Linked DNA regions of Caenorhabditis elegans. The protein of the gene in region 1 purifies or fractionates together with the protein of each later gene. This does not show direct contact. Each region holds a gene or a part of one and is shown on either strand. Other genes may lie near its edges.

Region 1 (7,838 bases):
CAGAAGATCGCAAACGCAACATTCCATGGGATTGAGAGAAATCAAATGGTTCAAGTCAAGGTAATAAGATAAATATTTGTTGTAGGCAATTTATAATTTTAGGTTCGCGGGAAAAATGCGATTGATGGCGGATGTGCATGCGTCAATTGCAATTGTATTACAGATAAGACAAAGTTCTTCGTTATACCAAGCCTTGCAAAAGTGGTGAGTACAAAATGAGGGACGGTGTAAATACCTAACATGATTTGTTTTATGTAAAAAATAGAACAATGGTAGAGTTTTGAGAAACTTTGTGGGGTGAAAGTGAACGCCATTTCGCTAAAAAACTACAAAACTATTTTTTAAAAACTATTTAAAAAATTATATCAATAAAAACTATAAAAACTTTAAAATAAGACTATAAAATGTTTTGCAAATATTCGTAGAACTAGAAAATTATAAAAAGTTTACTCGCTATTAGTTTCAAAAAAGTTTACTTCCAAAAACGTCTACCTCGTGAATCAATTGAAAAATCAATTAAAAGTTCCTTACTTCAGAGTCACTCTGACAATGATCAAATTTTTTTCAGACTCCACCGGCACCCACTTCGCCTACTGCAGTTCATCATGAAACGCTTATACTCTCCCCTCTCCAGATTTTCTTTATTTTTACCGGAGTAGTTTCGTTGCTTCTTTTATTGGCGTTCGGATGGCTATGCTGCAACAAATATCGCAAAACAATCTTCAAACAGAAAATTGCGTTTAGTGCGCTCAAATCGTCACAGTATCCAAACAGAAAAACGAAACCAAAGAGTAAGAGATTCTAGTGGGATAATTTTAAAATTATGTTTTCAGAAGCGTTCAAAGTGATGCTAGTATGTCCCGAGGTGTCCGGTCGTGATGAAGACTTCATGATGCGTATTGCCGATGCACTGAAAAAATCTAATAACAAAGTCGTTTGCGACAGATGGTTTGAAGACTCGAAAAACGCAGAAGAAAATATGTTGCATTGGGTTTACGAACAAACAAAAATTGCTGAAAAGGTACAAAAAATTCGGCGTAATGCACACCACGTTTTTCTCATTTTCAGATCATCGTTTTTCATTCTGCATACTACCATCCACGGTGTGGTATCTATGACGTCATTAACAACTTCTTCCCGTGTACCGATCCGCGATTGGCTCACATTGCTCTCACTCCAGAAGCACAGCGAAGTGTGCCGAAAGAAGTTGAATACGTATTGCCTCGTGATCAGAAACTTCTAGAAGATGCATTTGATATCACTATCGCTGATCCACTTGTCATAGATATTCCTATCGAGGACGTGGCAATTCCAGAAAATGTGCCCATTCATCATGAGAGCTGTGACAGCATTGACAGTAGAAATAACTCAAAGACGCATAGTACAGACTCGGGTGTCTCATCATTGTCAAGTAATAGCTCACATTCAGGAGGAGATAATGAGGTCAGTAAGAGAAAAAATGTAAATGGTTAATTAACAGGAAACTTCATTTTCTAATAAATAGAATCACGATCCGAGTGTGCCTTTTTCATTTCATATCCAAAAATTTAGCAAAAAATGTAGATTAAAATTTAGTTTTTATCAGGCGCTTCGTTGTAAAAACAAAGTGTAACATCCCATCAAAAAGTGATAACTTTACCGCAATTTCTCGTGTTCAAACCCAGAAAAGACATTCTTATTGCACATGGCCGCTGAAGAAAGCCTAAGAAGATATGTAGAGTCCAATACTAGTCGTTCGGTGTTTTGTAAGTCTAGAAGAAATAATACAGAATTTTGTAGGAATAAAAAAATTTTACTCCAAAACTTTACATACTTTTCATACTTTTGATATAACTTACAATTAGAGGATTTCAAAAAAAAAATAATTTGAAAGCAAATGAATATAACTAGTACTTAAAGAATGCAGAATTTCAATTGAAGTTGCTAAAATCTAGGTTTGTCACTCATTCAAACAGACTTTGGTTATATGCACATCACGTTTCATAAACATTTACAATTTCAGACTCTGACAAGTGGTATGCCAACTCATTTGAGAGATCTAAACATCGAAGCCCATCCTCTACTTCGACAGCCCGTAGAAGTTGTGTAGCACATTTTGAACATGTGAGCCTGTACAAAAGCCATAATACTTCTCAACTACTATCATCGTCATCTCTCCGTCACCAATGATCTCTACTCAAAACGGTTATGGACGGTTTTTTTGCATAAGGATTCAACTAGCCCTACACGATTGCTTTGATCTCTGTACATTTTTGCGTTTAATATGGATATTTGCTTTTTAATGGATTTTCGATCTTCTACTTTTATTGTTGATTTTTCTGGTTTTGTGGGGGTTGTGTACAAATTTTGTTTATTTGTTGTCGGTAACCACGGGTACCATATTATGTGAATCGTTTATCATCGTATTAAATCATGTATACATGCATTGTACAGAGTTTTTGAATATAATAAATGAACATGACGTCATTTGCACCTACTTTGTGCTTTTGAACTTTCACTGTTTCAGATATTTTTTATTTATGAAAAAAGGTATCTATGAACAAGCTTTTCAATACATTATAACTTTGTTGTATCTGGTCTGATCCTCAATATTTTTGAGTCTTCAAAAGAAACAATTATAAATTGCAATACATCTCAACACTGTTTTATGGCGTCTCAAATTTTGAAAAAAAAAATTATTTTATAAAAATTGATTTGCAGCAGACATGTTGAAAACGGTGCTTTTCTTTTAAATTATTTTTGTTGTGATAATGTAATTAACTACAACTTTACATAAATTGAACTGAATATACGGGTCATTCATTTTTACAAACCTTATCTATTCTATCAATACCATGACTTTTTTCGCGAAAAGTCAGCCGACATGACATGACTCTTATCTCTTTTTTTTTTGTTAATTCTTTTTTTGTTGCGACAAATTAGTGTCAAAAAACGTGAACCCATTCGATCACATAACATTTTGAACTTCAAGAAAATCACACAATCGATAAATGATGAAGTATGGTAAGTCAAAATTTTCTAATATTCCAACTGATTAATAGTTAGTGTGTTTGAGTTTTACTTTTTCAAATTAATGTTTACATTAAAACAACTATAACAATCCTCAATTGAAATATTGTACACGAAATAAAAATCAAAACATATGTATGAACATATTTCTCTTATCTTTTTGTATTCTGTCAAAGGGGTCTAATTTTTTTGACCATTTTTTTGTCAGTTAGAACCAAATAAAATCATGCCGCATGTCTGTGAAAAATCACCTTATTCTTTCTCTTTGAGATTGATAAAAACGTTCTGTAGGTTTTCCAAAATGTTAACTAAAAAATCAAATTTAAGCCGTCGGTATAGTATTACAGGCTAGGTATAGGATGCTCGGATAATATTAATTTTAAAAATTCGAAAATGCATCATACATAAAACTTTTTAATACAAAATATAGATGTTTTCTTTTTATTTATTTATTAATATAACGTATCTATATAATTTTCAATTAAGCAATAAATATTTTTGAAGATTTGAGGATAAAACTAAGCAAATTCTAAAACTGCAATGTTCAATGAAATTGCGTTATTCAGTGTTACCTATAAAGATTTTTCAAAACGTTACTCTCTTATTCTTCTCCCATTCACGTGTTGCACTTTCTGCCAGCCGCCTTCTCGGAGAAACTAGGAAATATCTGTGACTTTCTCTAGCCACTCTCTACTCTCTCGTCAGTGCAAATAGAGCGCGAATGCTTTAAAATGACGCATCAATCACTCTGTCGGTCATTTGATTTTACACTTTTCACTGATAGCTTAAAGCTCGGAAGCGGAACTATAGTGAAACATTTTATAAATTACGATTTAGATTTTTTTGAATTCTGTATCATGCTGCCTAATTTTTAATAATTTGAATATTTTTAGGCATGGCTCAAAAGTTTGTACCGGAGGCCGCCGAGCTCTGTGAAAATTCCTTGAAAAAGTTCATATCTTTGATTGGAACAGTGGACAAGCTGCTTGTCATCTCTGGAGCAGGAATATCTACAGAATCTGGTAATCTTTCATAGTTCCGATACTCAATCGTCTAAAATTTTAGTTCCAGGTATCCCAGATTACCGCTCGAAAGATGTGGGGCTGTACGCAAGAATTGCACACAAGCCAATTTATTTTCAAGATTACATGAGGTCCAACCGTTGTAGACAAAGGTGAGGTTATGCTTGGAAAAAAGTGAAAAAAGTAAAGCTGGTTAAGAAAAAAATGTTTTCCCGTTACGATTTTTCTACTCAACAGAAATGTTTTACAAGTACATCATCAAAATAGTCCGGGCTTTTTTTTTTAAATATATCTTATTCATGGTATAATTTATGCTAGCTGAGCCTTCAAAAAATATAAAATTTCAAAACAATAATTTCATATTTTCAGATACTGGTCTCGCAATTTTTTAGCCTGGCCGAGATTTGGTCAAGCTGCTCCTAACATCAATCACTACGCACTATCGAAATGGGAAGCTTCCGATAGATTCCAATGGTTAATCACACAAAACGTGGATGGGCTTCACTTAAAGTAAAGACGGTCAAAAATGAGTTAAAATTTTTTTTTAATTCAGAGCGGGCTCAAAAATGGTAACGGAACTTCATGGCAGTGCTCTTCAAGTAAAATGTACAACATGTGATTACATTGAATCAAGGTACATTGGACTGAATCAACTCAATTATGGAAAAAAAAAAACAATTTCTCAATGAGGAATTGTTTGATAAAAGCTAAAACAAATGATGATTTACTAAAATTGAACAATCACATGTAGCGTAGAAAAAAGGATTGTTATACATATTTGGATTTAAAAAAAACGAAAAGATAACATTTTAACTAAAATGTTGAAACTTCCTCTAAAATGTATCGGTGAACTTCCTTATAACATATTTTAATTAACGTACATTCTTCCTAATTGATAATGTTTGATCATTGTAACTTCATTGACTTTTCGATTTCACTCCACTTCCTGAATGTGTGGAATGGCAGACAATCTAAGAGAGTATGGACGCCTCTTAATGTATCTAATAGGCCACTTCACATTTCGGTTTGTGAACGTAAAAATAACCGTTTATTTTATAAGGGATCTCATAAAATTAAAACGTTTCAACTTCAGACAAACGTACCAAGACCGACTTGATTACGCAAATCCTGGGTTTAAAGAAGAACACGTGGCTCCAGGAGAGCTGGCGCCAGATGGTGACATTATTCTACCGTTGGGAACTGAGAAAGTAAGTGTTTTACGGTGGAATAAGTCGAAAAATACAGTGTTTTCAGGGTTTCCAAATTCCCGAGTGCCCAAGTTGTGGGGGACTTATGAAGACAGATGTCACGTTTTTTGGAGAGAACGTTAACATGGACAAAGTCAATTTTTGTTACGAGAAAGTGAATGAATGTGATGGGATTTTATCACTTGGCACGTCGTTGGCGGTGTTATCTGGATTTCGGTTTATCCATCATGTAAGGCTAATGGGATTTACTGGATGACTTTTTTGGTTATCTAAAAACAAAAACGTTTTGATGTTTCCGTGGGTAGCACAAAAATTAACTATTTAAAAAAATTTCAAACAACTTTTTTAGATTGTTAAGAGTCCTTCAAAAATAAAAATGTAAACTTTCAGGCTAACATGAAGAAGAAACCAATTTTCATAGTCAATATAGGACCTACAAGAGCTGATCACATGGCGACGATGAAGTTAGATTATAAAATCTCTGACGTTTTAAAAGAAATGTAGACTAAGACGTGTAGTTTTGGAATTTGATAATATTGTGTTGACGACAGTTTTTTGGGTACTTTCCGTTTGTATTTTGAAACTTTTTTTTATTGTTTGAATAGAATGGCAATTTGTTTCATGTTAATTGGAATAAACAATTTTTGATGAATATGATTGTGAAAATGCGTTATTTTCAGAAAAAAAATCATCTACTCCTGCAAAAAAAGTAACAAAATTGGCAAAACAAAATCCTGGAATTAGGAGATAGACTCAAATATTTTACCAAACAGCTTTTCTATATTATGAGAATATAATCACTTTTTGTTCATCAAGGATAACTTGCTTAGTTCTTTTTTAAAGTTTATGATTCTTCTTTAGTAGTAGTTTTTTTTTTTAAATCAAGATTCCCAATGGGATGATCATTTTAAACATCGCACCATATTGCTTTGATGACATGATTTAAACTATTTCAACACCTTCGTAAGGTTAGATTTTTATTATCAATTTTGTCAAATATTTTATTTCCTCATTAAACAATTATTTTTAAAACCTTGCTATCAAAAAAATTGTGGACTTTGTTCTGTACCTAGATAATCTTCCAGCTGTTGGTTGGTCTCCCATTATTCTTTCATTTTCGGCGGACCCGCACTCTCTGCCGGCGTTTTCCTTGGCAATACAGGAAGAGGTTACTGGATTTCTCTACTCTACTCTCTCGCCTGTGCAAATAGAGCGCGATTCATCCAAAGATATATTTTTAAGGGTTTTTTGAATGAACGTGATTCAACACAATTAGCTGTAAGATCCGGACTCGAAACTCTTGTGAATAATTTTTCAATAACGTTTATGAATAAAATTAAAAAAAAAACTGTTCTTATTGTTCTTCATTATTTTCACTTGTTTTGACAATCAATTCATCTTCGACAGTATTTTAGGAATGGCACGAAAGTATGTACCACATACGACAGAGCTTTGTGAAAACTCCCTAAAAAAGTTTAAGTCACTGGTAGGGACTGTGGATAAGCTTCTCATCATCACTGGAGCAGGAATTTCTACAGAATCAGGTTTTTTTTCAGGTACAGGTACAATCAGGTACAATATAGTTTTCATTTTCAGGAATACCAGATTATCGATCGAAAGATGTCGGATTGTACACAAAGACTGCACTTGAACCAATTTATTTCCAGGATTTTATGAAATCAAAGAAATGTAGGCAGAGGTGAGAGTACTTTTGAAATTTGTTGGGCCTTACTCTTGCAATTGTGATATTTCAATTTATAAAAACTTTGTGCCAAAGACTTTGAAAAAAGGCTCATAACTGCTCTCACGTATTAATATCATTACAATTTTATAGGTTTTATGATTCAGTAACACATTTTCTTTTTGGCATGCTTAATTATCTTTTGTCTTCAGATACTGGTCTCGTAGCTACTTGAATTGGCCAAGATTTGCTCAAGCTTTACCTAACTTCAATCATTACGCCTTATCAAAATGGGAAGCTGCTAACAAATTTCATTGGTTGATCACACAAAATGTGGATGGACTTCACTTAAAGTAAGTGAAGTTAACAAAATGAAAATATTAAAATAAAAGTTAAGAGCGGGCTCGAAAATGATAACGGAACTTCATGGCAACGCTCTTCAAGTAAAATGCACATCATGTGAATACATCGAGACAAGGTAAGGAATGAAGAAAAATTGGTACTAACTGTTTTGAAATTTGAAATTTAGAACTTTATACTTGGAACAATTTTGAACCAAAACAGGTTTGTACTTGAATGGAATTGAGATAAAAATAGAATGAATGTTAGTTGTTTCAAAATTATTAATAACAAGCAGTTACATATATCTATTTTTGACATTGCTCGCGTAAATCATCTTTTATAATTTCAGACAAACGTATCAAGACCGCCTGAATTATGCAAATCCTGGCTTCAAAGAGCAGTTTGTATCTCCTGGACAGCAAGAGCTAGATGCTGACACTGCCTTGCCGTTGGGTAGCGAACAAGTAAGTTTTTTTTTCAACAATTAGAAACAATTGCATAAAAAAGTTTTACAGGGGTTCAAGATTCCCGAGTGTTTAAATTGTGGGGGACTTATGAAGACAGATGTAACGTTGT
Region 2 (8,600 bases), 5.7 Mb from region 1:
AGAAGTATCGAATGAGCTCAGATTCAGTTTTTTTTTTTTCAATAAACACGTTCTTGTGCTTTTATAATATTAGTCATTTTAAACGCTTCAACATGACTCTGATATGTCCGAAAGTTTTTTAGACGTAGCAAATTTAGTGTCAGTTTTTTCGGGGTATTTTCAGTCAATTAAAGCAAACATTTAATAACTTTAATCCGTTTGTTCTATGTTTATTATTTGAACTTCCTAAAACTTTCCTAAAACTTAAAACTAGTCAAAAAATTTTTTTTGAGAACTTAAAAAATTGAAAAACAAAAAAAATATATATTTTCGACAGACCAAATGAGTTTAATTGAACTTTATTTGTGTTTCAAAACATACTTCAATAAACAAATCAAGATATTATTCTTTGTACTCGTTGAAAAACATTTACGTATCAGAACATGTTTGGAGTCGAAGTTTGGTTTTTTATAAAATTTGGTACGGACACTGAATTAGTACCACGTGTTTTCTATTTTTAATTTTTATCGTATCAGACAATTCGAGCTTTCCTCCCAAAAATGGAAACCAAGAACGACGGACACATTGTTTGCGTTTGCTCAATTGCTGGGTGGTCTGGTGAAACGATGGGACTTTCTTACTGGTAATTTAATGTTCCAAAGTTTTTGTTTTAAACTTTAACAGTTACTTCAGCACTAGCAAATTTGCGGTTCGCGGAGCTATGGAATCCTTACAAATGGAGCTCAGAGATCGCGGATTAGAGGGTATCAAAACAACTACGGTTGGTTGTTGCTAAATTATTGGCTAGAGATATTCTCGTTTTCAGCTCTACCCATATTTTGCAAGAACCCCAATGATTTTGGAAAATAATATGAGACCTACATGTACATGGTTCCCGTTCATGAGCATTCGGTCTTGCTCGAAAAGAATGGTAGATTCTATTTTGAAAGAAAAAGTGCACGCTTTTGTTCCCTCGTACATCACACTCATCCCTTTTGTGAAAAAGTAAGTTTCTCGGTTTCGTTATTTTGGTTTCCATGGTGAATTTTTATTAAGAACATTTGTTTTGAATTGTAGATGAAATCGGCATATTTAAAAATAATTAAAGTACTTTTTAAGTGTCAATATTCATGTGCTACTTATTAAAATGGCGAAAAATTAAAAATCAATGCCCTGTTTTCGCGTCTTATTATTATTTTTTTGAGAACTGTACAACTTTTCGTATTCGCAAAAAGAGCTGCCCGAATTGTTTTTCTGTCTGCGTCTAGTTTGTCTTTACACGCTCTATTATTGAGGTCACCATTGGTGTCCTTATTGATTCAGATAGTATCTCCTCTATTACACGAAGACACCCCTTCTTCTATCGTTTGAGAGAATCAAAAAAAAAAGAAACCAACTATTCATCTCCACTTACTTTTTGATTCTCGTACACTATGTAGAATATAGCCAACTAATGATAACATGATAAAATCTAATTTTTTATTTCAGTTTCTGCTCTCTTCAAGTGTGCCGGTCGCTTCGTAATTATTTGGGTGTTAAGTATTCCGCTTCAGATCCATCATTTTGCAAACTGACACTTATTGAAATGTCGGACTATTACAAAACTCCACAACTCTTCTGGTGGCTCCTCATTGTTCCAGCTCTGGCTATCAACTACGTAAGTTTTAAGGTTTCAAGTGAAAAAAAACTATGTTTGATAAAAATAGATATTTCAAAGCTTCCACTTCGATCTATATCTTTGATTTTTAGATTTCTTACGCCCATCCAGCAGCAGCACTTAATATTCCATTAATTGGATCTCTCGTCCATAAGATTGGAACTGAGTATCCATTTGTTGCTCTTTTAACCAACCTTTTCGCCCTTGTAGCACACGCCGGTGAAGCTCTTTACGCTCTTTATCTCTGCCATAAAGCCAATATCAGGTGAACTTTTTCAGTTGATTTTATAACAAATTGTATTTTCAGTTTTGCTTCTACCGCAAAATGGGTTGTCCAAACGTTTATTCTTGGTTTCCCGTCACTCTCTATTCTCAGTCGATACGAAGCCAAGCAGAGGAAGAATAATTGACTAGTAGTTGAAAATGTGTCTGATAGTTCCTAAAATGTATTAATTTTGTTTTTTTTTGCCAATGCAATGAACGACCATTTATTATCAAATAAAATGAAGAAACTCAACGAAACATTCTCAAATAAACAACATGTCGAGAGAAAGGCCAGTGTGTGCAAAGACGCAGAGAAGATCACTGCAAACGCGCTCCGTTGAGGTTGCTGTGTGAGATATCTTGGACAACCCCGCGCATTATTGGACTGTTTTTTGTTGTTTTATTGATCATGTAGTGGTCAATGAGCAGGTCATTCTTGCCTTCGCTGTTGCCAGAGAAGGTCGGCTTTTTTCTTCCCTGTTTTTGGTGATTTTGCCGTTTTTTTTTGTGTATTGAGTGTACTTACTGTGTGAGTCTTTAGATTTTCCGTTTCACGCATACACGTTTTTTGTAAAATTATTAGTTTTTGTAGGACTCTCGGTTCAAAAATTATAGAAAACGTGCAGACTGGACTATGAATTATATTCGAAGTTCTTCATTGTAACATTGTGAGGTCGTCTTTCCAACTCTCAACCTATCCCGGTGATTTTCTCGGTTTCTCTGCGTGTGTGTGTTCAGAGGACGAATACGTGCAAAATCGCAAGAAATGGGCAAAGAGAGAGAGCGGGGCAACTGCGCTTTGGGTCCATCAGAAAAGAGAGATAGACAACTTTTGTGAAAATCTTGTTGCGGGACAAGGGCACCGCACTTCTTGCTTTTCTCTTTTCTGGCCAGGCTATTTACTTCGTTGCTCAGTTGCCATTTCTGCATGTTTTTCTTATTTTTTCTACTAGTCGAAGTTTTCCTTCATAATCAATATAAAGAGAGTTTTCAAGGCATCGCTGTTTATCACTTAACTGACCAAATCAAATCGGTCGTCCTTATCTTTCTCCATCGAAGTTATACACGAAACTGTTTTTCTCCATCATCTTACTTTTTTCTTTTGTGAACTGCTGATGTCGTTGTTCATTTTATCATGAAAATCATTGTTTTTAGGTTGAACCATGCTCCGTGCTGCATCCAGTATCCGCGCTGTGGCCAATCGTGGATTGGCAACTGCTGCTGTTGCCAGACCAGGAGTGTAAGTTTCTGAAAGTTGTATTCGGTTTTGAGATCAATAGGTTCAATTTCAGACCACTTGATGAACGTGAGGGAAAGGAGATTTACACTACTGTAGGAATCGATTACAATGAGCCAAAGTTCGACAAGATTTTGATTGCCAATAGAGGTAATCTCAAGCATCTAAAAGAATCTTAGATTTAATCGTCTATTTTACAGGAGAGATTGCGTGTCGCGTGATCAAAACTGCCAGAGCTATGGGAATCAAGACAGTGGCCGTTCACTCAGATGTCGACAGCAACTCGCTTCACGTAAAGATGGCCGATGAGGCTGTATGTGTTGGAGAAGCTCCAACTGCCAAATCCTACCTACGTGCTGACCGCATCTTGCAAGCTGTCGAGGACACCGGTGCTCAAGCGGTAAGAATTCTAACGTGTCTATGTAATGGAAGGATAAACCGCAAAAATCAAATATCAGAGGAGAATGTAAATTCTGTGGCATGAATCTACATGCACAGTAGCACAAACATATTACCCAGACATCCGACAGAGAATAGAGTTTTTGCAAAAGTTCAGAACACCGCTCCAAATCAACTACTACTGTTCAAGAAGTCAGAGCGTTCGCGCTTAACTTCAAACGGAGAGAATAGCTTAAAAAAGTTGCTGACTGAAAAAATGTGAAATAAAACATTCCCTACATTTTGATAATGCTCAATTTTTTCATGCTCATATCACCTGGCTGAGATATGAGGGTTTGAAGTGATGAAGCTCTAGAGTTCCCTCTTATGGCCTGTTGAAAACTGTGGTGAGGTCAAATTATGAAAAGCACGAATTACCGCATTTTTCAGAGGACAAGCTAGGGTCAAACAGTTTGACAACCCGAGCGAGAGCTTTTGGCTGTGTAGCAGCTTAAGATTTACCGTAATATATTAGAAACCAGTTACTTGTAATATGCACGTGATATTCACCTACTTTCACTACGAAACACAACAAAACAAAAATTCTGTGACAAGTGACCAAGTGGTCTCTTTCCAGTCTCTAGCATCTCGCGTGTTTCATTTTCAAATAGTCAAAGTCAAATGACGAGAGATAGATTGCAAGTGTCTTCTGTTATGTTTTTCAAACAGAACTGCTAAAAACGTTGAAAACATATATTTGCAGGTTCATCCAGGATATGGATTCCTTTCCGAGAACACCAAGTTTGCCGCCGAGCTTGAGAAGGCTGGAGCCAAGTTCATCGGACCAAACTCTAAGGCTATTCTTGATATGGGAGACAAGATTCATTCAAAGAAAATCGCTACCGCAGCCCGTGTCAGCATGATTCCAGGATATGACGGAGAAATTGCTGATGAGGATATGTGCGTGAAAGTCTCCCGCGACATTGGATACCCAGTCATGATCAAGGCTTCTGCCGGTGGTGGTGGAAAAGGAATGCGAGTTGCCTGGAACGACAAGCAAGCTCGTGAAGGATACCGTTTGTCCAAGCAAGAAGCAGCTTCTTCTTTCGGAGATGATCGAATGCTCGTTGAGAAGTTCATTGACAACCCACGGCACATTGAGATGCAGGTGCTCTGCGACAAGCATGGAAACGCTTTGTGGCTCAACGAGCGTGAATGCTCCATTCAGAGAAGAAACCAGAAGGTTATCGAAGAGGCTCCAAGCAGCTTTGTGCCACCAGAGATGAGACGCAAAATGGGAGAACAGGCCGTTCAGCTCGCCAAGGCTGTCGGTTATGACTCTGCTGGAACCGTCGAATTCCTCGTTGATTCTCAGAGAAACTTCTACTTCTTGGAGATGAACACTCGTCTTCAGGTAATATCTCAGTATGGCCTAAATGTTTAATTTTTAAATACTCACAGGTCGAGCATCCAATTACCGAGTGCATCACTGGAATCGATATTGTCCAACAGATGCTTCGCGTTTCCTACGGTCACCCACTTCCAATCACCCAAGAGCAAGTGCCACTCAACGGATGGGCTTTCGAGTCTCGTGTCTACGCCGAGGATCCATACAAGGGATTCGGTCTTCCATCAGTCGGACGTCTCTCCAGATATGTTGAGCCAAAACACGTCGACGGAGTTCGTTGCGACTCTGGAATCCGTGAGGGATCGGAAATCTCTATCTACTACGATCCACTTATCTGCAAGGTAAAGGATAAATTAGCATTTAGATAATTTCAAGTGACTTACTTTGTAATTTCAGCTCGTTACGCACGGAGACAACCGTGAACAGGCTCTGAACCGCATGCAAGAGGCTCTCGACAACTACGTCATTCGTGGAGTCACTCACAACATTCCACTTCTTCGTGATATTGTCCAAGAGAAGAGATTCCGTACTGGAGACATTACCACCAAATATCTTCCAGAAGTGTACCCAGAAGGCTTCCAGGGAACCAGCCTCTCACCAAAAGAGCAAGACGTTGTCATTGCCTTTGCCTCGGCTCTCAACGCTCGTAAACTTGCTCGTGCCAATCAATTCTTGAACCAGAACAAACAACGTAGCACTCATGTGGCTTCCTTCTCGAAGACCTACAAGTTCGTGTCTTCTCTGCCAGTGAAGGAGGGTGAGAGGCCAACCGAGCACGCTGTTGAAGTCGAATTTGTCGAAGGAAGCGCCAACAAGGCCCAAGTTCGTATTGGTGGAAAGACTGTGACTATCAGTGGAGATCTCAACTTGTCTCATCCAGTCAACTCAATTGAAGTCGATGGAGAGCACATCACCACCCAAATTGTTGGCAAGCGCGCCGGAGAGATCACCGTTCTTTACAAGGGAACTCCATTCAAGGTCAAGGTGCTTCCAGAGCAGGCCGTCAAGTACTTGCAGTACATGAAGGAGAAGGCCAAGGTTGACTTGTCCACAGTTGTGCTCTCACCAATGCCAGGAGCAATCAAGAACGTCAACGTTAAGGTAACATTATTTTATCACTACCATTAGATGTGCTAAAACTGATTCAATTTACAGCCAGGAGATATGGTTTCCGAGGGACAAGAGTTAGTTGTCATGGAGGCTATGAAGATGCAGAACAGTCTTCATGCTGGAAAGACCGGACGCGTCAAGGCCGTCAATGTGAAGGTTGGAGCCACAGTCGACGAGGGAGAGGTGCTCGTTGAGCTCGAGTAGATTATTCTCACTGAACCTGAATTTTTTTTGTTGTTTTAATTACCGTTTTTTTCCTAATTTTGTACAATTCAAAGCCGCCACTATCTGGTATGGAGATTGATAATTTCATTCGCAGTTTCTCAAATTTCAAGCCATATTTATATTTTATTTTTGATGCCATTACCCTCACCTGTTGTATTCCAATCATCACGGACGTATTTCTCAGCCACCACCCTGTTTTGTTGCCCCAAGTATTATGTAGTGAATAAATATTGTAGAAGGCATTGCAAAAAGGTTGTTATATGAAGAAAAAAAAGCATTTGCTCATTTTTTGAACTTTTCAATTAGAAAATTATATATCTATTCTGTTTCTACATAACATAAGTGCAGATGTTTTGTTGATTAAATTTTCTATTTTTTGTGAAATAGCTTGTGTAAACTAAACATTTTACCATAGTCCATAATTGAAGCTCGGAAATAAGCGTTGTGAAAAAACTTGTCAGTTTGCAAATCTGTTTTAAAAATTTCAGATTTCTCTTTTTTATGTTCTTCTTTCATGTATCTCAATTTCAAAATATTGAATAGCAGTGCCAATTGATTATTCTGAAAGAAAATTGACAAAAAGACGAGTTGAGACGAGAAGATGAAACAGAAAATGATGGGAAGAAGAAAAAGAAGAATTTTTCTTCCAGTTTTTTTTGCCGTTTTCTGTTCTTTTCAATCTCATTTTAACTCACGTTTTTTGGTTTCGTGTGAGTAGTGTCACACTGATATTGTTAAATTCTGTTAACTTCTAGTTGAGAAAATAAATAATGTCAATATTTTAATAAAACTTACTTGTAGCACTTTCAGATCTGTAAGATGTCTAGTATCGGTATAAGTAGATACGAAGACGGGGAAGAGAACTGTTGCACAGCCTGCCTTGAATTTATGCATGAACGGAGGAGCCCACCATCATGCGAACACAATTGTGTTGCATGTTTTTATTGTAAGTATAGATTTGATTTTTTTTTGAGTTGAAGCTTGATTATCAATAAAACGAAGTGCTAGTTGAAGTTTTAAACAGTTTAAATCTAACTTTTTCGAAAAAGTGGGTGAGACCCGTCCCTTTCCAATATGTGTTAAATTGATTTCAAATTAAAAAGAGAAGTTTGTTGTATTATAGTATTTAGTCTTGTTATTTTTTTAAAGATGAAAATAGGATCAACAAATGAAAAGGGTTTTGTCATGACTCAGTATGTTCTACACTCTAACCCAAATTGTTTTATATGATGAATGCTTGTTTTGTTTTCAGTATTAATTGCTCGACGAACCAATTGTTTGATTTGCAACGTGACAATATACGAGATTGAGCGCATCTTCAAAGATTTGAGGAGCAGGGTGAATATTGAAGCTAATAGAATGAATTGACTGTAATTGAAAATGAAAATGTGTTCTTATATGTGCATCTTCTGTGTATCACTGTTTTAATACAATAATACAGATTTTTCTGTCACGTGGAATTCTATACTTGAAGAGAAAAGCTAAACGGTGGACTTTGTTGAAACTATTTTGAGCTAAATATCGTATTCAAAATCGTAGGGAGTTCTTCTTTCACATATTATCCTTGCATTACTAAATCAGAACTCCCAAAATTGAAGTTCTCGTGAACGTCTGTTCCATTCAAGTTGTTTCGTACTAGTCAGAAACATAAAACTATTGTCGGAGCCCAAAAGGATTTTTGTTGTTGTAGGAGGCGGTACCATGAACGAAGGTACCACCTTTGTAAACTTTCAGCTATATATTTCAGACTTTAACATCAAAAATTACGTAATAATTTGTTTATGTTTGTTTTTTTTTAACTATTTACATTTCAACATTTTATCATTATGGAATTTGTAAGCCCTAAGAAACTTTTCATCATTCATTATTCTCCATCAGCTGATCCATTTTCCTGGCAGCTGAAAAGAAAATGTTGTGGTCAAAGGGGGCCTGCGTTGAAATTCGCCGACGCAATTTAATAAACATTGATTATTGCACAACCCTTCCATCGCCTTTCGTTTTCATTCTGTTCAGCGGAACGAAGCCAAACTGGCGTCAACATTTCTGAGCAGTGGTCAATGAGCAAGGAGGTCTCCCCTTTTCTTTCACGCGCGGCATCACGCGGAAAAGATTCTTGAGCACGCGCTGTTGCGCAACCCTGAAAATTGGGGGGACGACGTCTCCTCATTTGAAATAGTATCGAAAAATGAGAGAATATAAAGATTTGAACGTCCACACTGCTTCGTTTTTATTAATTGCCAAAGAGTCTCATGCGGAATATCGCGTTTCAATCTCGAGAAACTTATATCGCAATGAATGGTCATAACTCGGAGCAGATGAATGCTCCAGGGACTTGATTTCTT
Region 3 (7,466 bases), on another chromosome or scaffold:
TTACAGATTTTTTCGTTATGACACTTCTTGGTGAAAACTTGAGAGATTTGAAGCTGAAATGTCCAGATCGGCGTTTTCTGCGAGGAACTTGGAGTCGACTTGGTATTCAGGTATCATTAAATGAAGTTTAAAATCTATTTAACCTTGATTCAGATTTTATATGCCCTGAAATTGATGCATGAAAAAGGTTTCATTCATCGAGATATAAAACCGGAAAACCTATTGATGGGAGCAGCCGATGATAGAAAAAGGAGCCGCATTGTGCATGTTATTGATTTTGGATTAACAAGACAATGGGCATGGTCGAAAGTGAGTTTTCGATATTTTTTTGATAATTTTGACTTAAAATAGTTGTGATATTTACCGTATTTTCTCAGTTTATCTGGCATCTTCTTGCTAGACAGGTAGGCGCGTAGAGGAGGTAAGCAGGTAGGTACGTAGGTTGTTAGACACGTAAACAGACAATCGCACAAGTAGGCACAAGGGTTGTGCGGCTGGCTGATTTTTTCGGCTGTCGGCGCTAGCCTCTTCCTACAGATCCATGATTTATATCCAGGAAAAAGCCTTCTATGCTCGCCCACTTCGTACCAAGGTGCAATTCCGTGGATCTCTGAACTTTACATCTTCAAATGCTCATCTGGGATACAAACTTGGCCGAAAAGATGATCTATGGTCACTTCTGTTCACATTGGTTGATTTGAATGATCGTCTTCCATGGCATGGAGTGAAAGATCATATGATTCTCGCACGACAAAAAATGAATATGGGTGTGGCTCTGATGAAAATGCCAAAAACGATGGAGAGATTTTTCGAGCATCTGCTTGAGTGTAGAGCCTTGCAAAGACCAAACTATCAGTAGGTTTCCAGTTTCAACTTTTACTTTTCTAATATTAGCTAAACATTAGATTTTTCCTTTTTTGTGTCGAAAATACGGTACCCGGTCTCGACACGAAAAATTGAGTAATTGTGTGCGCAATTTTTCTTCGAATTTTCATATTTTTTCTCTATTTGTTGAAATTTATGTGTTCCCTTTTTTTAATGTGAAAATTTCGCAGCAATGAAAATTTTACTTTACAGTACTCTTCGTACCTATTCGCATTTAACAACAAAAGTCGTGTCGAGACCGGCTACCGTATTCATCTCGGGAGTAACACTGTTGACAGTGGACAGTTTGAATAATCGAATAATAAATTATATTTTTACATGGATACTTTTTTAAAAGTTTATACAGCTTGAAACTACTGAAAATTCTTCATTGATAAATATTTCATATTCAGTATGATGTTCAATATCCTCAAAGGAATTCAATCGTTATCAGAAGATACACCGACTTCAAAGTACACATTTGAAGAGGTGGAACTTTCTGAAGATGATCTTGAAGAACGATTCACAGGAGAATGGGAAGAAGTGACTGGAGAATTTTTCGCGGTTTGTAGATAAAGATCGTAAGGCTTTGAGATGTTTATTTCCAGATTGATGAAGTTAAAATCAATAATCCGGAAAAATGTTCAAAGCTGGCCAGTGAATGGAAAAATCCTGACGTTGATGTGTTCCAATCTGCAAGCAAAAATCAAAAAGGCAGTAAAATGATGTTGAGCTATGAATTTAGACTTGTAAGTGTTCAAAATACAAATCAACCATATTGTTGAAAATTGTTCAGACTGGAAAAAATGAAGAACAGACTGGAAAAAATGAAGAAAAAATGAACGAATATGCATATCGTTGGGAAAAAGCAAGAGAAAGATACAGACAAAGGATGTTACGATTGAAGCTTAATGATCGCAACAAGCAGCAATTTGAAGCTAAGAACTACATGGAACAACAAATAGAGAATGATAGAAGAGATCGTTTAGATGATATTGAGAATGTCGCTCTGAAGTATTTGACGACTGAAGGTGCCAACAGTGATGAAAAGGATGCGGAAGTGAATATGTCTGAGCTTCATAAGGACAGGAATGATGTATTGAGAGATGCCCAGAAATTGATCCGTAAAAGAGAAGGAACTTTCAATTCATCTCCAAAATAATTGGAATATACTTGAGCTTTTCCGAATGAACGATTGATTGAATATATTCACATAATTTTATTTCTAGGTAAAGGCACATAAAAAATATCTGAGCTGCACAACCGTACTCAAAATTAATTACACTTGAAACTGTCAAAGGGTGTTGTAAGAAAAATTGAAAAGCTCTGAAAATACCGGATATAGCTATAAAACCTAAGAGAAAAAACCAAAAATAAAGGTAATGCCTATGCGAATTGAACCAAAACTGCATTTTTTGGAACATTTTTGCCTGCCTGGCACTTAATGTGTTCAACAGTTGAGTCTTCCGGGGCACGAATGATGTATTCCATTTTCATTGCTGTCATCACTACGAGTGCTTGGCCTGTAGTTACCTAAACTTTGAGTTATTTAATTTTTCGGCATGTACTTGTACATACCTGCTCTCCAGGCTTCACAAGAATTTTTTCAATAATTCCTGGCATTGGTGCGACGGCAGAATGACTGGCTGCTCCTCCGGATAACGAATCAAATGTTTCATGGATTTGTGGAGTTTCATATTCGTTTTGACCAACTCCATTCACCTTAAAGTTAACTTTTCAAAACTATGATTTGTTGAGACACAAACTTACCATCAAACTATTTCCTAGATTTTTAACGACAGTACTCCAGCGCCTGCCATTAGCTTCCAATGTAAACTTGAAAGATCCGTCTGTGGTTGATTCAATGTCGTTGAGAAGTGTTTCATAACTGTTGCCATCATAAGACACTGTCAGGCGACTATCAGAATCAAATCTAATGCTGACATCTTTTCCGTCTGAATTTAAGCTATTTATTTTTCTTTATCAAACTAAACGCGTTACCTATTTTGAAAATGTATTTTGGTGACAAATTCATTCTAAAGAAAGATAAATTCTGGAAGACACCTGCATCTGATTTTTGAAGGGCAGCCAAAGCATGTGCTACAGCCGACTCAACGTAAATTTCAGCAGGAGTTTCAGATTCAGCAAATAGTTCCTTCTGGTGATCAGGGATAAAATCGGTATAAACATTTCCTGCGGCAAATTCAGGATGAGCAAGAACTCTGCGGACAAAGTCAATGTTTGTGGGTAGCCCTGAGATTCTTGTACGAGCCAAAGCACTTTCCAATTTTGCAGCAGCAACAGCACGATCCTGGCCCCACACTACCACCTAGAAAAGGAGATGATTGTTTAGAAGCTGTTCTGAAATACTTACCTTAGCAATCATAGGATCGTAATGGATTGATACTTCGTCTCCAGAAACAACTCCTGTATCGATTCTAGCATCTTCCGGGAAGTCAACATAATTAAGACGTCCCGCAGTTGGCATGAATGCTCCTTTACGAGTATCCTCGGCATACACACGACATTCAAATGCATGACCGTTTAATGGAATTTCTGATTGTTTCAGTGGAAGCTTCTCTCCTTGAGCTACCCGTAATTGCCATTCAACAAGATCCGTGCCTGAAATCAAATTATTTGATAATTTCCAATCTCCCATTATAAAATCTATACCTGTGATAGCTTCACTGACGGGATGTTCGACTTGAAGCCGAGTGTTCATTTCCATAAAGTAGAATTCGCCACGCGGGTCCATGATGAACTCGACGGTACCTGCTCCAACATATCCCACAGCCGCCGCAGCACGAACAGCTGATTCTCCGAGTTTTACACGAGTATCATGTTCTGCAAAAACATTAAATCTCATTTAAAACTTTTTCACGAGACTGACTTACCCATATTTGGCGCTGGTGCTTCTTCAATAATTTTCTGATGACGTCTTTGAACGGAGCAATCTCTTTCCCATAAATGAACATAGTTTCCATGGTGATCTCCGAAAACTTGTACTTCAACGTGTCTCGGCTTCTCGACAAACTTTTCCACGAGCATTTCATCGTTTCCAAACGACTTCTTAGCTTCGTTACGAGCTGAAGCCAGTTTTTCTTCGAATTCAGCCTCGTTCCACGCAATTCTCATTCCTTTTCCACCTCCACCATAGACAGCCTTCAGCATAACCGGGTAGCCTGAAATTTTAAATAAATTTATGTGGGGCTATACTTTAAAAAATTACCGATTTCTGCTGATTTCTTTTTCAAATTAGCATCTGATTGATCTTCTCCGTGGAATCCTTTTACTACAGGAACTTTAGCATCTTCCATGATTTGCTTCGATACATTCTTGGCTCCCATATCCCTGATAGCTTGGGCTGGTGGTCCAATAAAAACAAGGCCGGCCTGAGCACATTTTTCAGCGAATCCAGCATTTTCAGATAGGAAACCGTATCCTGGGTGAATAGCTTGTGCTCCAGATCGCAATGCACTGTTGATAATTTTGTCCATATTCAGATAACTTTCCGCTGCAAGAGGAGGGCCGATGTGGTATGCCTGACATTAAATTCAGTTTAACACTTCACGAATACTATGGATTCTTACCTTGTCAGCTTTTTTAACAAAGAGGGAATTACGGTCTGCGTCAGAAAAAACAGCAACTGTCTCAATTCCCATTTTACGAGCGGTATTTTGGACGCGAATGGCGATTTCTCCACGATTTGCAACTAAAACCCGTTGAATGGGACGAATTAGAGGGGCAGTTGAGGCACATCGTTTTTGGAATACACCAAGCATCTGAAAATAAAAACATATTGGGAAGATGTCTCAATTAAAAAGATATCAAGAAAAAGAGCAGAAAGCGGATGTGGAGCATGTTTCAGCAATAAAATAAACTTTTCTCAATCGAGCGTGTTTGCATTGCGCTGTCTGCGTCTCTCATTTTCTGTCTCTCTATTTTCTTCATTTTCGAATAAAAATCTTAAATTGACGATTTTCATCCGGTTTCCATTTTTTCCTTTATTCCGTTAGTTTCTTTTTTTACTTTATTTTAAATCAATGCTTCTATTATTATTTCTTCAGATAATGGATTTCAAAGCAAAACTACTTGCTGAAATGGCAAAAAAACGAAAAGCCGTGTCTGGAATGGAAGTAAAAGAAGGAAACGCAAAGTTTGTCAAAGGCGCTGATTTAGAAATGAAAAGAAATCAGGAATACGAAAGAAAACAGCAGGAAATAGCTAGTAAGAAACGAGTAAGTTTTCTTTTAAAAACTTCGTTGTAGGAATTTGTCTTATAAAATTTTCTGACACTAATAAAGAAGGATTAGGTATTGCTGAATAATATTTGCAATTAAATTATCATATAGTAAATCATTATAAAAGACATCATTTAGAAAGTTGACGACGAGATACTTCAAGAATCATCCAGTCGAACTAAACCCGCGCCCGTGGAAAACGAATCAGAGATTGATGAAAAAACACCAATGTCGGAAATTCAAACACGTCTTCGCCAGCGAAATCACCCAATTATGCTTTTCGGTTTGGCATTTTCCAAAATCGTATTTAAAAAAATTAATTTTCAGGTGAAACTGATATTGATGTGCGTAAACGCCTTCATCAGTTAGAACTTGCTCAACCTGATCTCAATGAAGGATGGGAAAATGAATTACAAACAGCAATGAAAGTTATCGGAAAAGAAATGGATAAGGTTAAAAATAACATTAATTCAAATTTCATGAAATGAAATATTGCAGGCAGTGGTTGAAGGTACAGCTGATAGTGCAACACGACATGATATTGCTCTTCCACAAGGATATGAAGAAGATAATTGGAAAAATATCGAACATAATTCAACTCTTTTGAGCGTCGGTATGAGATTTGAAATAATTTCTCGAAACTATATTACTTTTTATAGATGACGATTTGAAACGAGATTGTGATATTATTCTTTCAATTTGCCGTTATATACTCGCAAGATGGGCTAAGGATCTGAACGATAGGCCACTGGATGTAAAAAAGACAGCACAAGGTACAATAAATTAAAAAAAAAGTGTATTAAATGTTTATATTTTCAATAGGTATGCATGAAGCAGCCCATCACAAGCAAACAATGATGCATCTTAAAAGTTTAATGACTTCAATGGAAAGATACAACTGTAATAATGATATTCGGCATCATTTGGCCAAGATTTGTAGGTTAGTAGGTTATTTTTTGATTCAACATTATAATTTTCATCGAAATTCACTTAAAAAATAAACTAATTTTATTCAAAATGCGAAAATTATCTTGTAATTGGAAATTTCCGGGGTTTTCAAATGTAGCTGAGCAAAAAAAAAACTAATTTAAATATGGAGTTTTAAAATGGCTCCAAATTTGATTCCGTGCCAATTAAGCATTTTATTATCATGAAAATTCCAGAGTTGGATTTCTGTCCAATTGTGATGTGAAAATAAGCGGATCTGCGAATTTTGAGAAAATAAAATATTCAATTGACACGAAAAAACCATTTTTCAAAAAAAAAAAACTTACACGAAAAGAGAAAACTCGGTAAATTGGCATGAAATTTGATGGAAAGAACTCGTAAAAATTTAATAGGTACATAGGTATTCAAAATTAGAGACATTTAAAAAATTTTTTTCGAAATTCCGCGTTTGAATAATAAAAGTATAATCATATATTTAAAACATTTATTTTTTCACTAAAACCTTTCTCTGTTTATCGAATTTTTGAGATTTTCAGAAATTCAAATACTATACCAAAAAAAAATCAAAAATTAAACTGCAATGTGTATGAAAAAATTCTTAAATTTTCTTTATTTTCGGTTGTTTAATATATATTTCAGATTGCTAGTAATTGATAGAAATTATTTGGAAGCAAATAATGCCTATATGGAAATGGCCATCGGAAATGCACCTTGGCCAGTTGGAGTAACTCGTTCTGGTATTCATCAACGTCCTGGATCTGCAAAATCATATGTCAGTAATATTGCTCACGTACTGAATGATGAAACTCAGAGAAAGTACATTCAGGTTAGAATTTCCATATTCTTTTGAAAATCTCAACTTTTAAACATTATAGGCGTTCAAACGACTGATGACCAAAATGCAAGAATATTTTCCAACGGATCCATCGAAAAGTGTCGAATTTGTTAAAAAGGCTGTTTGAATTCTCATTATTTATCTTGTTCAATTGTTGTTTAATTATTTATAAGTTAAAAAAAAGGAATTTATTTTCTTTTGCAATACACAACGATTATATACATATTTATCTATGGTACAGGATATCACAGCGTCAAAATGTTCAATAAGATATATACGGATGTTTCAAGAAATAATCCATTCAAATAATGAAACAGTCAAGTTCTGATATGAAACGAGATCAAAGAGGTAGAATCCAAAAACCGAAATTAACACATTAACCCATTGGAGCTGGAGGAGAATGTTGAGGTGGAGTCGTCTTATGAGTTGCTTGGATTAGTTCGTCAAATTCAATTATATTGAAAAGTGACGTCACATGAACTCCTTCATTCATTAAATGTGTCAAACTCTGAAAATTCAAAATATTATGAGTCATGCGACAAAAAAGGTCTCGACACGTTTTTTTTGTAAAATACAAA

Evidence for each region. Proteins that work in one complex are often made in the same cells at the same time.
Region 2: the proteins of sir-2.2 (region 1) and pcca-1 purify together in Caenorhabditis elegans (affinity purification with western blotting, with the first as the bait; one study listed by BioGRID). This does not show direct contact.
Region 3: the proteins of sir-2.2 (region 1) and mccc-1 purify together in Caenorhabditis elegans (affinity purification with western blotting, with the first as the bait; one study listed by BioGRID). This does not show direct contact.

What each region holds. Positions count from the first base shown.
Region 1 is NC_003284.9:13,325,360-13,333,197, forward strand, and holds sir-2.2 (NAD-dependent protein deacylase sir-2.2), read left to right. Parts: upstream 1-2,990; coding exon 2,991-3,003; intron 3,004-3,902; coding exon 3,903-4,031; intron 4,032-4,074; coding exon 4,075-4,183; intron 4,184-4,400; coding exon 4,401-4,541; intron 4,542-4,584; coding exon 4,585-4,665; intron 4,666-5,124; coding exon 5,125-5,239; intron 5,240-5,285; coding exon 5,286-5,468; intron 5,469-5,629; coding exon 5,630-5,743; downstream 5,744-7,838. Other genes in the region: F46G10.2 (ILCR1 Ig-like domain-containing protein), read left to right, coding at 1-60, 103-204, 569-791, 834-1,021, 1,069-1,443, 2,003-2,089; NAD-dependent protein deacylase sir-2.3, read left to right, coding at 6,657-6,783, 6,836-6,938, 7,133-7,273, 7,318-7,398, 7,612-7,726, 7,778-7,838. UniProt on the Caenorhabditis elegans protein: NAD-dependent protein deacylase. Catalyzes the NAD-dependent hydrolysis of acyl groups from lysine residues. Plays a role in oxidative stress resistance.
Region 2 is NC_003284.9:7,655,442-7,664,041, reverse strand, and holds pcca-1 (Propionyl-CoA carboxylase alpha chain, mitochondrial), read left to right. Parts: upstream 1-3,055; 5' UTR 3,056-3,063; coding exon 3,064-3,140; intron 3,141-3,192; coding exon 3,193-3,287; intron 3,288-3,337; coding exon 3,338-3,537; intron 3,538-4,278; coding exon 4,279-4,929; intron 4,930-4,976; coding exon 4,977-5,264; intron 5,265-5,319; coding exon 5,320-6,024; intron 6,025-6,078; coding exon 6,079-6,237; 3' UTR 6,238-6,530; downstream 6,531-8,600. Other genes in the region: dhs-29 (NADP-retinol dehydrogenase), read left to right, coding at 516-622, 673-760, 806-984, 1,468-1,636, 1,729-1,901, 1,944-2,046; F27D9.12 (RING-type domain-containing protein), read left to right, coding at 7,078-7,204, 7,511-7,626. UniProt on the Caenorhabditis elegans protein: This is one of the 2 subunits of the biotin-dependent propionyl-CoA carboxylase (PCC), a mitochondrial enzyme involved in the catabolism of odd chain fatty acids, branched-chain amino acids isoleucine, threonine, methionine, and valine and other metabolites.
Region 3 is NC_003282.8:9,881,750-9,889,215, reverse strand, and holds mccc-1 (Methylcrotonoyl-CoA carboxylase subunit alpha, mitochondrial), read right to left. Parts: upstream 4,647-7,466; coding exon 4,455-4,646; intron 4,407-4,454; coding exon 4,094-4,406; intron 4,047-4,093; coding exon 3,759-4,046; intron 3,709-3,758; coding exon 3,538-3,708; intron 3,487-3,537; coding exon 3,239-3,486; intron 3,194-3,238; coding exon 2,866-3,193; intron 2,820-2,865; coding exon 2,635-2,819; intron 2,587-2,634; coding exon 2,443-2,586; intron 2,398-2,442; coding exon 2,251-2,397; 3' UTR 2,071-2,250; downstream 1-2,070. Other genes in the region: ttbk-3 (non-specific serine/threonine protein kinase), read left to right, coding at 7-110, 154-309, 557-855, 1,278-1,428, 1,473-1,613, 1,661-2,026; prp-18 (Pre-mRNA-splicing factor 18), read left to right, coding at 4,935-5,102, 5,244-5,388, 5,433-5,557, 5,604-5,718, 5,765-5,878, 5,928-6,045, 6,693-6,879, 6,929-7,015; Nuclear hormone receptor family member nhr-4, read right to left, coding at 7,265-7,396.